2 linked regions of the Anolis sagrei genome follow. Each later gene encodes a partner of the first gene's protein in a complex. Links are inferred from orthologs where the notes say so. Each region holds a gene or a part of one and is shown on either strand. Other genes may lie near its edges.

Region 1 (7,979 bases):
AAGTTGAATGGATCTTGTTAAATTGCTCAGCTTCCATGTTATTTCCTATGCTATTATATGTTGCTATCCACCTTATTGAACCACTTTATCCTTTAATCCAGCTTGCATAGTGGTCTTTGCCACCCCACCTCCAAAATTAGTCTGCTGTTACTCTTGATGCTTGTTATTATTGTTACGCTGTTTTGCTGTTTTATGCTGTTTTGATTTGTTATTGCTTTGCTTTTAATTGTATTTTGCCTTGGGCTTGGCTCCATGTAAGCCGCCCCGAGTCCCTTTGGGGAGATGGAGGCCGGGTAGAAAAATAAAGTTCTTCTTCTTCAAACAGGCTCCTGGAACCAAACCCCAGTGAATACTAAGAACCTACTGGAATCCATAGACTGAACTCAGGCAATGGGTATTCAAGTGAAAGGTGGTTTCTTTGATTTCACTGAAACATATTTCCAAATAAGTACACTTAAGATTGCATAATTACTAATTACTTGAAAATGAAGCACAAGTCTAAGTAAATTTGTTCAGAATCTGAGCTGGAATCCAGTCCGGCTGATAACATATGTAAGAGATCGCAAGCGAAACAGGCCACCTTACCTTTGATCCTCTCAACGCCTGCTTTCCCCACCAGATCGGATTAGCGTCCACTACTATGACTAAGAGATTCAGCTCATCATCTAGAAAAATAAGATAAAAAGCATCACCCAACAGTGTGGTCATTTCAGCCTATTACTGTCTGTTCTATAGACAGATCACCAGTTACAATCCCCACGTCCCATTGGTTTAGCTGTCTAGAGGCAGAAGGCTCTCACTCATGCAAACACAAGTAAAAAGGAGGACCAACCAAGACTGTGTACCTGTTCATTGAGAACTGTTTCCCGCACCTTACTCATAAGGATAGGGTGGCAGCTTTAGGAGTCCCATCTGTCTTCCCCAAATGCAGAAACGAAAGTCCAGAAAAACACCATCTCAAAAGAAAGAATTTAGACATTTCTTCTAGAAAGTCTGCCCAACTGCAATTATTATTGTGAATAGTTTGCCTTTATACAGCCTGAACTTTACAGCTGGGAGGGGATTTCTGTCACTCCTCTGCGTTCCAAGTCAATGTAGCAGAAAAGACACACATCTGTGTGTGTGTGTGTGTTTGCACCACAAAGGGTCCTTCGTGGCTTGATGGATCTGGACCAAACCTGGCACACAGACTCTAAATAATTGAGGGGTTTGAACTAAACCCCCTCCACCTCTTTTGGGCCCAAAGCAGAGGGAAAGAAAAGGAACAAAGCGGATGGGCTGCTGCTAGGTGAAGTGGTCTTCTATGATACCACTGGGAAACAAAGAGGGTGAAGTGTTGTTAAGTGACATATGTATCATACTCGGCCATGAGTGATAGTCCATGGTGTATTGAGAATGGAGGAAAAAAGGAAGGGGGGAAAGAAAGAGAAGGGAGGGAAAGAAGAAAGGAAGGGAAAGGAGGTATGAGGTGAGGGAAGAAAGAAAAAGAATGGAAGAGAAGGGAAGGGAGAAGGAAGAGAGGGTGGGGAAGAAAGGAAAAGAGGTATGAAGGGAAGGAAGGGAAGAGAAAGGAAGGGAGATGGAAGAGAGGGAAGGAACGTGAAGGGGAAAAGGTATGAGGAGAGGGAAGAAAGAGAAAGAAGGGTAGAGAAAGGAAAGGAGAACTGAGGGAGAAGAGATAGGAGGAAGGAAGAGAAAGGAAAAGAAGTATGAGGAGAATGAAGGGAAGAGAAAGGGAGAAGGATGAGTGGGAAAAGAAGAAAGAAAAAGGAGGAAGGGAAGGAAGGAAGAGAAAGGAAAGGAGATATGAGGGGAAGGATGGGAAGAGAAAGAAGGGATGAGAAAAGAAGGGGGATGGAAGAGAGGGAGGGAATGTAAAGGGGAAAGGTAAGGAGAGGGAAGAAAGAGAAAGAAGGGTAGAGAAAGGAAGGGAGACGTACGAGAGCAAGGAGAAGAAAGAGAAAGGAGGAGGAAGGAAGAGGAAGGAAGGGAAGAGAAAGAAGTGATGAGAAAGGGAGAAGGAAGAAAGGGAGAAGAAGAACGAAAAAGGAAGGGGGAAGGAAGAGAAAAGGGGTATGAGGGGAAGGAAGGGAAGGGAAAGGAAAGGGGATGGAAGAGAGGGAGAAGAAAGAAAAAGGAGGGGGAAGGAAGAGAAGGGAAGTGAAGTATGAGGGGAAGGAAGGAAAGAGAAAGAAGGGATGAGAAAGGAAGGGGATGGAAGAGAGGGAGAAGAAGAAAGAGAAGAGGGGGAGGAAGGGAAGTGAAGTATGAGGAGAAGGAAGGAAAGAGAAAGAAGGGATGAGAAAGGAAGGGGATGGAAGAGAGGGAGAAGAAGAAAGAGAATGGAGGGGGAAGAAGAAAAAGGACGTATGAGGGGAAGGCAGGGAAGAAGGGAAGAAAAAGGAAGGGAGGAGGAGGAAATTGTAAAGAGGAAACGGTATGAGGGAGGAAGGAAGTAAGGAAGGAGAGGGAGGAAAAAAGAAGAGGGGGAAGATGTGTGAAGGAAAGCTAGGGAGGAAGGAAAAGAAAGAAGAAAAAAGGAAGTGTAAGGTTCCCAGTGCAAAGTCTGTCACATCATCTGCACTGCCCGAGAATGCAGTTTGAATCTGCGTGAGTCAGTGTTCACTCCTAAAATGCAGTTGCACTGCATTGAGCTGCTTGGCAGGAGTCTACGCGGCCTCTCCAGCGCAGTTCCAAACCGAAGAACAACCGCACGGATCTGTTTCCAGTACCTAAGGAACACTCTGCACGTGCTTAGGAGCAGTCGCGTCGAAGAGCCACGGCTTTGTTTGAAACCGAGGGAAGCAGGCAAACAAGAAAGGAGCCCGGATTGGAAGGCCGAAGCCACTCCGTTGGTAGAGCAGCCCGAGGGGAGGAGAGACCGCCGCATTGCCCTCAGACTCACCGCCACTCATTGCTCTCGGCAGCAGGAAGGAGCGCAGTGGTCCCCCCGTCGCAGGGGAGTGACGTCTTTGGCCGCCGCGCGGCTCCCCGCCCGGTCCCGCCCTCGCTTGATTCCGGCTTGGAGTGCCGCGCGGAAAGGCTTCCGGGGGCCAACGCGTCCCGCGACCAAGGTTCCGCCCTGGTTGCCTCGTGAGTCCCAAAAGCAGATGGAAGGAGTGGCGTGATCTGGCTCTTCCACTATGAACGAAGCAGGTGAGGGAATGGGAAGAGGGTTCAAGGCACAGGCATCCGACTTGAAATCAATCCATGGGAAAAGGATCTGGAGGCCCTTCCACACAGCCCTCTATCCCAGAATATCAAGGCAGAGAAGCCCACATTATCTGAGTGTGGACTCAGATAACCCAGTTCAAAACAGATATTGTGGGATTTTCTGCCTTGACATTCTGGGCTTTAGGGCTGTGTGGAAGGGCCCTAGGAGTCTTAGGCTGGATCTACACTGCCCTCTATCCCAGGATTTTGATCTACACTGCCAGATAATCTGGGATAAGCAGATAATCTTGAATCGGATCCTGGAATAAAAGCAATGTGGAAGAGGCCATAGGCCCCTTCTACACTACTATATAATCCATATTATCAAATAATCCATATTATCAGCTTTGAACTGGATTTTATGAGTCTACACTGCCAGATAAACGAGTTCACAGCAGATCATCTGGATTGTATATGGCAGTGTAGAAGAGGGCCTTAGTGGACCTTTGTGATGCGACAGCGAAAAAGGCTGATGTCATTGTAGGGGGCATCAATAAGATCGTGTCTAAATGTGGGGAAGTCCTAGTCCCACTCTCATTGGTCAGACCTCACCTGGAATAACCACCCTGTGTCCAGTTCTGGGCAAAACAATTCAAGAAGGAGATGAAAAAGATGGAAGGTGTCCAGAGATGGGCCACCAAAAGGATCCAGTGGTTTGGAAAGCAAGCTGAAGAAGCTGGAGTCTGTTAAGCTTGGAAAAGGGAAGGTTGAGATGTTTCAGTCTTTGAAAGGATGTCCCATTGAGGAAGAATAAGCAAGGGTTGTTTTCTGCTTCTTCGGAGACTGGGACTTCTTCTGGTCACTTCTGAAACCATTACCACTCAAGCAGGGAGCTTTGAGATGGTTGAACAGAAGTTCTCCGAAGTTCTAGGTGTTCTTACTGCCTACTACTGGGGAAACCAGCTGATTCCTCATCCATCTAAAACATCATCTTAAGAACAGACAAGCATCCCGAGCTCTGAGGATTACCTGGGAAGGAATCCCACTGGAGCATTGCAGCACACTCAAATACCTGGGAATTACCCTGGACCGTGCTCTGACCTACAACAATCACTGCCTGAATATCATATGAAAGCTGACTGGCATAACCTGGGGATCACAACTGTGATCAGTTCAAACTGCAGGAAAAAAAGAATCCACCTGAACATGGCCATACAGCCTGAAAAACCTACAACATCCTAGTGATTCTGATCATGAAAGCCTTCGACAATACAAATCCACCTGAACATTAGGAAGAACAGTAGAATGTGCTGCCTCAGAGTGTGATGAAGTCTCCTCTGGAGGCTTTTAAGCAGAGTCTGGGTGGCCATTTGCTGGGAGTGGTTTGATTGTGTCTGCCTACCTGGTAGAATGGGGTTGGACTGGATGGCCCTTGTGGTCTCTTCCAATTCTATGATTACATTAGTTTCTTACAGGCTTTTATTGTGATTTTATTTAAAAGCGCCAGCTTCATTATGAGTACAGAAAACTGGGGTAGCCTCCAGAAGTCCTCAAACTTTGACAGTCCCATAGTGTTGGCTGTGTTTGGCATGCTTTGTTTGGCTAAAGGCTTTGGACCCAGAGGTGCCCCACTCTTGCTCTATCTATGGAATGAAGAAATGCTGTCAGTCATCATTTTTGATTATGGGTGTGTTTACACTGTCGAATGAATGCAGTTTGATCCCACTTGGAACTCTCATGGCCTCAATGCTATGGGATTCTGGGAGTTGTTGTTTCACAAAGTCCTTTGGCCTTCTCTGCTGGTGCCTCTCCCAACTATAACTCTCAGGATTCCAAAGCACTGAGCCATGGCAGTTCAAGTGGAGTCAAACTGCATTCATTCAGCAGTGCAGATGCACCCTAAGTGTGTTAAAAAGAATCACTCTGTGTGTTTGTGGATGTTCTAAACCTCACAACAGACAATACCCAGCATTAAGCTATGTTGTTTTCAATTCGTAATATTTAAAGGGAATATGGAGTCTATATGGAAAGAAATCAGAGCTTAATTGACTTTCTCCTTTTTGTTTTCTTCCTCCACTTCTTTTCAGAGCTGGTCGAGGCCTTTAACACTCAGATGAGGCAGGATCCTGATGTCGCCTCAGCTGTGGCTGCTATCCATGTCTTGCTGGAGTTTTTGAAAAGAGACAAAGGCATGTAGGGGCTTTTACTTGTGTGGCCTGAGCTCTGGGTTTGAGGGCTGGAGTCCAGTAGATAACTAGGTTGGAATTTATGATTTGTGATAATTTATGATATAGCAACAAATGTTTCAGATTTAAAAGTCAAACAGTGGATTAGACATTATGACTCACTGCAGGAATTTAATCAAATTTTCATTAAACTCTCCTTGTTACTCTTAGAGATCTGCGTAGCATCTCTAACCTGCAGTAATTCAAATGTAGTACATGCTGGCTATTTAATTATCTGTATCATTGAGACAGTGAAATAACCAGCACATATACTACATTGGGCATAGCTCTTGGAAGCCACAGTTTTGCGTCTGCTTTTAGATGAAGGCTCCATCTACACTATCATTTAATGCTGTTTCAAACCGGTGTTAAAGAAAGTGGTTTCACTATGCAGATGATTGCATAGGAAACCCTGGTGTTGATTTTGAGGCCTGTATGGTGATTCTACACACTGCAGAACATTGATGCACATTGACGGCTTTCTTTTGCATGCTTTGGTGGGAATTTGTTATCTGGCTGCCAGTTTGAAGCTGCCTTTGAACTGCATTAGATGGTCAGTGTAGATGGGGCTTTGAAATTCTAGTTTATGGCAATGCAGTTACTACAAGCTCATTTCCCTCCCACTTCTGTCTCTGCCAGGTGAGACAATTCAAGGGTTGAGAGCCAATCTCAAGCGAGCCATAGAAGTGCTCTCTGGTGTTGATTCCTCGGTAGCGATCTCTTCAGGAGGGGAGCTTTTCTTGCGGTTCATCAGTCTCACCTCTTTGGAGAACCCGGTGAGTTTCACTCAATTGTTTACAAGTGAGTACAGGACTGCAGTCACTAATTAGTAGTTTTTGGGTCTGTGTCACCCAATTTTATATTAAAAGGCCCACAGGAGTTGCAGTAAAACACGCCCAGCTTTGAAACTAGTTTCCGCCTTTGTGTTTATTACATGATGGGAATAGCAACAAAGGGGAGATTTGTGAGCATGTGCCAACTCATTTCAGAAAAAAAAACTAATCAGAGCCAGATTCAACATACTTGGCTATGATGGAGAAGGGCTTTTATAGTAGAGGATGTGTCAACCCTAGCAATTTTTTAAAACCTTTAAACACGGTAAGCATGATGCTCAAGGCATGTTTGAGCTTGTTTCTTTAATTGAACCTCCGATGTCACCTCCTGCCTTCACCTCTTGCTGTTTTCTCTAGGATTATTCCAAATGTAAAGCAATCATGATTGAGAGAGGAGAACTTTTCCTCCGGCGAATCTCTGGCTCAAGGAATAAGATTGCCGTACTTTGCCATACTTTTGTCAAAGATGGTGGGGTGAGTAAGCCTAGATTTTGTAAAACACAGGAACAGACTTACTTTGGTTTTATGCATTTTACTGTTGCCCTAAACAAATGTGAAAGTTGGTACTCACCACAAATATAATATTCTCTGACTTCCATAGCTGACATAGCCATAGAATCTTTGAGATATTGGAATTGGAGGGTACCCTAGAGGTTTACAAGTCCATCCCTTGCTCAGTGTAGGATCTACAGTTATAGCATTCTGACAGATGGCCATCCAGTCTCTGTTGAAATATCCCTAGCAAAGGAGAGCCTACTAGTTCTGAAGACAACTCTGCTCCACTGTAGAACGGTATATACTGTGATAGTATTTTAACTGATATCCACCCGAAATCTGGTCCTTTTGAATTTCTAACCATTCATTCCGTTCTTCTCTTCTGGAGCTGCAGAGAATGCATCTATCCCATCTTCTGCTCTTCAAATATTTGAATATTATTTATCATGTCTCCCTTTAAACTTCCCTTTTTCTACACAGTTGAGACCTGGCTGTCTGTAATGCCACATGGTTCTTCTTTCACTAGTTCAGGAAGAGAGGACCAGTAGTCCTCCCAATAATGGGAGTTGTAGTCCAATCTCCTTTGAGGGAGGGAGGAACAGACAGCACATTCTGAGCCTTTCTAGGAAGAATTGTGTAATTTATATTACGAATCCTAAACTGAAGCATTGGTGTCCTGTTTCCTCAGAGGGTATTGACTCACGCTTATTCCAAAGTGGTCCTGAAAGTGCTGGACACAGCAGTAAAAGCCAAGAAACGTTTCAGTGTTTACGTCACCGAATCACAGCCGGACCGAGCAGGGCAAGTAGATGTCAAGGCTTTCTGCTTCTTCAGTATGCAAATAATAGTAGCTGGGTCTGCTCTTTCATTACCTGGACAGAGTTCTCCCTTTGTGAAGTAAAGCTACAGTCCTGTATACACACTGATACTTGAGAGTAAGCTCCTATGAGCACATAAGATAATGAATGAATGAACTCTACTGCAAAAGATTATCATTACTATATTATTATTATTATTATTATTATTATTATTATTATTATTTTGTCCTCTCTTGAACATCCTTTGTAATGTTACGTAGGATCGAAGTACTTTTTAAATATATATAATGGGTTTTAAGATAAAATGTTGACAATTACACAGGCAGACTATGGCTGAAGCTCTCACCAAACTGGGCATACCTGTGACAGTCATCCTAGATGCTGCTGTTGGGTAAGTGTGAGTGGGCAATATTGTCGCTTGGCAAAGCCATTTTTAAATGGGCTGGGATTGTCAT
Region 2 (6,928 bases), on another chromosome or scaffold:
AATTCTGGAGACTTGATTTTTTTATAAAAATCAACCTGGACTGCATTAACAAAAGAGTTTTTAAAAAGGCCAGGATAGTGACAAAGGTTTTTAAGCAGGATCCAAGACAGATGTTAGAAACTAAGTCTAGCAGCACTGCTAGTCCTACAAAAAGCATTATGTGAACTACTTCAGTTCCAATGTATGTGAGATGCAACTTGCAAGTTGATTCCTGCCTTTGCTGAAGTGTTAGTCCCCATCTAGACTGTCATATAATGCAGTTTAACTGTATTGAACTGAGTCTACATTGCCATACAATGTGGTTAAATTGCATAATGAAATTGCATTATTTGGCAATATAGATGGGACCTTAATCACTAAAATAAGTGAGTTCTGAGATGGAATGACTGAAGGGAAGGCTAGATGACAGATGAAGTCACAGACTTGGGCAAAGATCACTACAAACCAGGTTAAGGGGAAAGGTTTCCCCTTGACATCAAGTCTAATCAAGTTCATTTCAAAGCGAAGTACTGGCGTTGTCCATAGATGCCTCCAAGGTCATGTGGTCAATATGACTGTATGGATCGTTGTTACCTTCCTGCCAAAGTGGCACCTACTGATATACTCACATTTGCATGTTTTCGAACTGCTGGGTTGGCAGAAGCTGGGGCTTGCAATGGGACTTCACCTTGTCCCATGGATTCAAACCTCCAACCTTCTGGTCAGCAAGTTCTGCAGCTTAGCAGTTTAACCAGCTGCACCACCAAAGCCCCTAGAAACCAGGTTACCATTTCTAAAAAAAACAGTCACAGTTGCTATCCTTGCATTACCCAGATACTAAAACATTAGTACTGTGTAGTGTTTAAATTAAAGTTAGACTCTCAAGAAACTGACAATAAAATAATCAAAGAAATAAAAAGATTATAAATAAAACTAAAATGAATTCAATTTTAGCAGAAATGTAAGTTTAAACTTGGCACCATAATCCCACACCAAAAATGTTTTAAAACATATGTTACTGACCTTCATGAAGTTAAAAATTTACTGTTTGCCAATTAAATTAAAATACATACTGCCTTCACAAAGCTGTTTCTATGCTGCAGTAAAATAAGTACATTGAACTTGTCTTTATTTCCTTCTAATTACTGTATTTTAATTTTAATATCAGTTTATGGTATGGTGGATAGCATTCGTTCGGCTTGTTTATAATGATAACTCTAAAGCAGGCATGGGCAAACTTGTGCTCTCCAGATGTTTTGGACTTCAACTCCCACAATTGTGGGAGTTGAAGTCCAAAACATCTGGAGGACCGGTGTTTGCCCATGCTTGCTCTAAAGTAACCAGAAACTACATTTATCCAGCATCTACCAATCTCCATGGGTGTCAATTAGCAGAGAATCCACTGTACAGTAAACGTAATAATCATTGTGATCATTTCTGTTTTGTTTTGAACTCTCTCTCTCCCTTAAACTCTGTTGTTGGAAGGCCAGGAAATCTCTCATCAGCTGAAAGCATTAGTCACCTTTTACTGTACTTCCTTCATAACAGAGAGGCCTCTACAGGCTCTTCCCCACCTTCTCAGAAACTTTATGGAAGAGCCCCCAGTATTACGAAAGACTGTCTTGTTAAACACGACGTGTAACAAAGCCACACACAAAGGTAAAATCATTTTTTAAAAGGAAAGGGGTGAGAGTCAGATAACCTTTTATCTATATAAATAAAAATGTAATGTTAGTTTGTGGGATTAACAGAACTCAAAAACCACTGGACGAACTGACACCAAATTTGGACACAAGACACCTAACAACCCAATGTATGTCCTTCACTCAAAAATTGATTTTGTCATTTGGGAGTTGTAGTTGCTGGGATTTATAGTTCACCTACAATCAAAGAGCATTCTGAACCCCACCAACAATGGAATTGGACCAAACTTGTAACACAGTTCTCCTATGACCAACAGAAAATACTGGAAGGGTTTGGTGGGCAGTGTCCTTTGGTTTTGGAGTTGTAGTTCACCTACATCCAGAGAGCACTCTGGACTCAAACAATGATGGATCTGGACCAAACTCTACAGAAATACTCAATATGCCCAAATGTGAACACTGGTGGAGTTTGGGGAAAATAGAATCTTGACATTTGGGAGTTGTAGTTGCCGGGATATATAGTTCACCTACAATCACAGAGCATTCTGAACCCCACCAACGATAGGATTGGGCCAAACCTCTCACACAGAACCCCCATGTGGCCCACAGCAATGTGTGGCAGGGGACGGCTAGTATAATCTATATAGATAAATATGTAATGGCTGTGGGATTAACATAACTCAAAAACCACTGGACGAATTGGCACCAAATTTGGACACAATACACCTCTCTGGCCAACGAGTGACCATCACTCATGAAAACACTGAAAAACACAGATGAATACTTTAAAAGCCAAACAATAAAAAAAAACATTACAACGTATGCACATAAATACACACATACACACACACAAAGCAGACATACACAGACTGGGCCACAGCAATGCGTGGCAGGGGACGGCTAGTAATATAGTATGCAATTAATGTAAGTTGCCCCAAGAATGGCGTCTAACAGCCTTGCCACACATCCAAAATATGGGTTTAAAGGAGAAAGGCCTAGGGGTGTAGCCACACCACAGAATTACAGCAAGTTTGACCCCTCTTCAACTTCCACGGCGCAATGCTCTAAAATTCTGGGGTTTGTCATTTACGGGGGCGCCTGAGCTCCCTGACAGAGAAGGCCAAACACCTCCCAACACCCGAAATGCTATAGTCTGAACCGTGACACTGGAAGCAAGAGTCAGGCCGAAGTCTTTCCAAGCGGACTCCCTTCCTCCCCTTCCCCCGGATCAGCCGCGCTCTCCCTGGTCCGCTTCCGGGGGAGAAAAACCCATCCAAACCCCTTCTAGCTTCTCCCACTGACCGGCTCGTCGACGCCATCTTGCTTCCTCTTTTGCCGCGGCGCCTGCGTAGCGTTGGGCGGCGCCCCTTTTATGCCTTACGCTCCGGTGGGCGGGGCTTGGCGAAGGCCAGCCGCTACGGCGAGTGGCGTGGAACAATTGTTTTGCAAAGGCAAAGGAATGGAATGCGAGCCCAAGCTCCTCCCCTTTCCCACTCATTGCGAGGTTGTCATTTCAAGTCCGGTTTCTCTGCCAAGTTTGTGATCCACTTAAAGTGAATTCATTTTCTAGTGTGATACAGAGCCTGGTCTTTCCTGTTGAACGAATATTAGTGATGTGCATTCCTTGGATAGCTTAGAGCAGACTTTGGATTGGTCCACATTTGCAACAGTTTTGGAAGTGTCCCTTGCCAAAGGGTCTATAGATCAGGCATGGGCAAATGGAATAGTGTATCCAAGTCTGGGGACCACAGTTGAAGAGAGATATTGACAAGCTGGAATGTGTCCAGAGGGGGGGGGGGGGGGGCGATTGAAATGATCAAGGGTCTGGAGAACAAGCCCTATGAGGAGTGGCTTAAAAAGCTGAGCATGTTTAGCCTTCAGAAGAGAAGGCTGAGAGGAGACATGATAGCCATGTATAAATATGTGAGAGGAAGTCATAGGGAGGAGGGAGCAAGCTTGTTTTCTGCTGTCTGGAGTCTAGGACGTGGAACAATGGCTTCAAACTACAAGAGAGGAGATTCTATCTGAACAAAAGGAAGAACTTCCTGACTGTGAGAGCTGTTCAGCGGTGGAACTTTCTGCCCCAGAGTGTAGTGGAGAGTCCTTCTTTGGAAGCTTTTAAACAGAGGCTGGATGGCCATCTGTCAGAGGAGTGCTTTGAATGCAATTTTCCTGCTTCTTGGCAGGGGGTTGGACTAGATGACCCATGAGGTTTCTTCCAACTCTATGATTTTATGATTCTATGATTCTACATTCATTAACTACTGAGCCACCCACTTAAGAAATGGCAATCTACTGTGTTCATCACATGAGGTAAGCTTCAAGTGTAGGGTAGAGATATCTTGGGGATAAAAAAGCATTGCAAAGGGTTATCTAGCCGAGGGGCCTTCTCCATTGTGGCCCCTCAGCTTTGTAACTCACTACCTAGTGAGATTAGGCAAGACCCCACCCTGGCAGACTTTAAGAAAGACCTAAAAACCTAGCTCTTCCAGCATGCCTTTGACTTCCTCCTTCCTTGCTTGCTTGCTTCCATGTGTTGTGTGTGCCATGTGTTACTCACCCAGGCACCTTCTTCCCTCCTCCTCCTCTGGTTGACCTCAAGAGCCATCCCCCTTCTTTCTGCCATGTAGCAAAAGCACAATCAATCAATCAATAATAATAACAACAACAACAACAACAACACTTAATTCATATTCTACCCGATCTCCCCAAGGGGACACAGGGCGGATCACAGTATACATACACGGCAAACATTCAATGCTGTTTTGGATAGAAAATACAGAGACTGACAAAACAGAAGGAGGTATGTTGTGTCAACATCAAAGTCCATTTTTTTCACGCCTTGGAAGGTTGTGCTTGAAATCTAGCCATGGGAGTGCTGTCACTCCATCCTCTATGACGAAGAGCCATCAGGACTTCCTCCTTCCCTTTGGTCGCCCAGCATTTTCTGATCTTTTTTCTTTAAGGTGTCGTAAAATACCTCCCCTGCTTGTTTTAGCGGTAAGCTGTTTTCAAACTGCTTAGGTCAACAGTAAGCAGGCTTGACAGTCAGCAGCTCACACTGACCCAGGTATTTGAACTGGCAACTTTTTGGTTGGTAGATCTTCTCATTGCTGGTGATTTACCAGCTGTGCTAAACCCCAGCCCAAAGCACCCCTGTTCCATCTCCCAGGAGCATGAGTTTTGCATTACCTTTTAGTTGCTGGAAACAGCCTCTCCTTGTGTTTATCCCAGGCTGCTGCAGCCTTTGCTAGGCCTAAAAGGTTAGCAGACAGAGGCAGGAAAGCCAGTTTGCAGGCTCTCTGCAATGATTGGCCAAAGAGTAGCTCTTTGGGCCCGCCCCTGTTTCCAGTGTAGAAGCATCCATTTTGGAGGTCTCCCTGCCCCTTCAGTCTTAAAGAAGAATCCATGATGTGCTGTTGGCAGACAGGTACCTCCAAAGATACCATTGTAAAAACAATTGAGACCGATAGATAGATAGATAGATAGATAGATAGATAGAGTCATAGATAGAAAACAATTTTGATTGAGTTATTTAGTTAGAGATAGATAGATTAAAAGAGAACTGTTTAGATAGTTATAGAGGATTATCTAGATAGTTATAGAGATACCCTTTTTGGAGAAAGTTATACCCTTTTTGGAAAAAGATTGCCTCAACTATTGAACCCCAATTGACTGTTTGTTTTGTAATATTGATAAGCTGAGCCAAGTCTACCAGGACTTCGTGAATAAATACCCTGTTTGATGTTTCAAACTTGAAGTGGACTCAGTTATTCAAGAAAGCTCAATCTTCTAAAGAAAGACCCCAGCAGTTCGCCCAGACCTAGATAGCAGCACGTCAAAGTTTTATTTTAAAGTGTCTGGGCGTAACGGCACAACCCCTAACAGATGGGCATCCTGCATCTGAATAATAATATTAAAGAAAATATGTTCCTAGTTACAAGTGTTATTTCCTGTTTAATTGTGTAGTCCTTACTTTTGTTGTGCTCCAAAAACTATGTTAAATTGGCGGAGACTCTACATGATGTTCAATCATTGAGAAACTAGAGCCAAATGTGCTATAGCAGGATGTCCTTGCAAAGACTAAGTTTTTGCAGTTTAATCATATTTTCCCATGTGTTTATGATAGAGGTAAATGTAAAGGTTTCCCCTAACATTAAATCTAGTCGTGTCTGACTCTGGGGGGGGGGGGGGTGTTCATCTCAATTTCTAACCCAAAGAACCAGCGTTGTCCGTAGATGCTGTCCTGCGGATTTGAACCACCGATCTTCTAGTCAGCAAGTTCTGCAGCTTAGCAGTTTAACCTGCTGCGCCACCGTGGAACCAATTAGGAAATTACATTTATAACCCAGGAATAAAAATCATAGTCCCATTAGAGGAAGTGTTCCTTTTCACCAAGAAAACAGGGGACAGTGAACGGGATCCACTCTATACAATGTGATGGCAAATCAACTGAGAACTCCTGAATAAAACAGATAGTTTGCTAGTGTGTGATGGAGGCAAGAAAATCATCCATTTAATTTCAAAACAGAGTATCTCTCAGCTGTATGGTAATCTACTCTTTCAAACACTTGACATGTTCAGTGGGATTACCTCTTTAATGTAATTTGACACCACTTGTCAAACTCCCTCCTGGGCACACAGAAGACTGGGCGACTTGAAAGATGCTGAACAGATTGCACTCTGGCACCACGAGATGCAGAGCCAATCTTAAGAAACTGGTCTACAAAGTGGAGTCCATGACATGCGAGTGTGGAGAAGAGCAAACCACAGACCACCTATTACAATGCAGTCTGAGCCCTGCCACATGCACAATGGAGGACCTTCTTACAGTGACACCAGACCCACTCGAAGTGGCCAGCTTCTGGTCAAAGGAAATTTAGTATAATGCCAAGTTTTAAACTTTGTGGTCTTCTATACATTATAACTCAATTCGCTTCTGACACAATAAATAAATACGACACCACTTGAACTGCCATGACTCAGTGAGAAAATCTACTGATCATGGGGAAATGACAAGCCCAGACTCTCTTCAGTGTATAAGACAAATGAAAACAGCTCTTTGTGTAAAAATTATGACGGAGTTTCAAATTTAATGATTTGTTCAATCAAGTCAACTTTACATGTTATAAAATTGACATTACTGAGTAGATACTTGAGGACCATTTTTGTAAAATAAAAATGCAAAAATTGAAGGGACAGTAACATATCCAGCTACCCAGTGAGAAAATGTAGTTATCATGGGGAAATGACAAGCCCACACTCAAGGAATCATACTGATCTCCAAGCCATTTCCCTCCAAAATC

The links.
Region 2: GTF2H3 (region 1) and GTF2B share a complex: the UniProt entries of both Homo sapiens proteins name them as parts of the TFIID-containing RNA polymerase II pre-initiation complex. The link is inferred for Anolis sagrei from reciprocal best matches to the Homo sapiens genes GTF2H3 and GTF2B.

The regions. Positions count from the first base shown.
Region 1 is NC_090034.1:41,525,510-41,533,488, forward strand, and holds the start of GTF2H3 (general transcription factor IIH subunit 3), read right to left. Parts: upstream 3,006-7,979; 5' UTR 2,916-3,005; coding exon 2,906-2,915; exon of another isoform or gene 2,733-2,905; intron 2,727-2,732; exon of another isoform or gene 846-2,726; intron 666-845; coding exon 586-665; intron 1-585. Other genes in the region: EIF2B1 (translation initiation factor eIF2B subunit alpha), read left to right, coding at 3,144-3,156, 5,241-5,342, 6,018-6,154, 6,569-6,685, 7,395-7,511, 7,851-7,915. UniProt on the Homo sapiens protein: Component of the general transcription and DNA repair factor IIH (TFIIH) core complex, which is involved in general and transcription-coupled nucleotide excision repair (NER) of damaged DNA and, when complexed to CAK, in RNA transcription by RNA polymerase II.
Region 2 is NC_090024.1:151,970,068-151,976,995, reverse strand, and holds the start of GTF2B (transcription initiation factor IIB), read right to left. Parts: upstream 3,014-6,928; 5' UTR 2,942-3,013; coding exon 2,925-2,941; intron 1-2,924. UniProt on the Homo sapiens protein: General transcription factor that plays a role in transcription initiation by RNA polymerase II (Pol II). Involved in the pre-initiation complex (PIC) formation and Pol II recruitment at promoter DNA.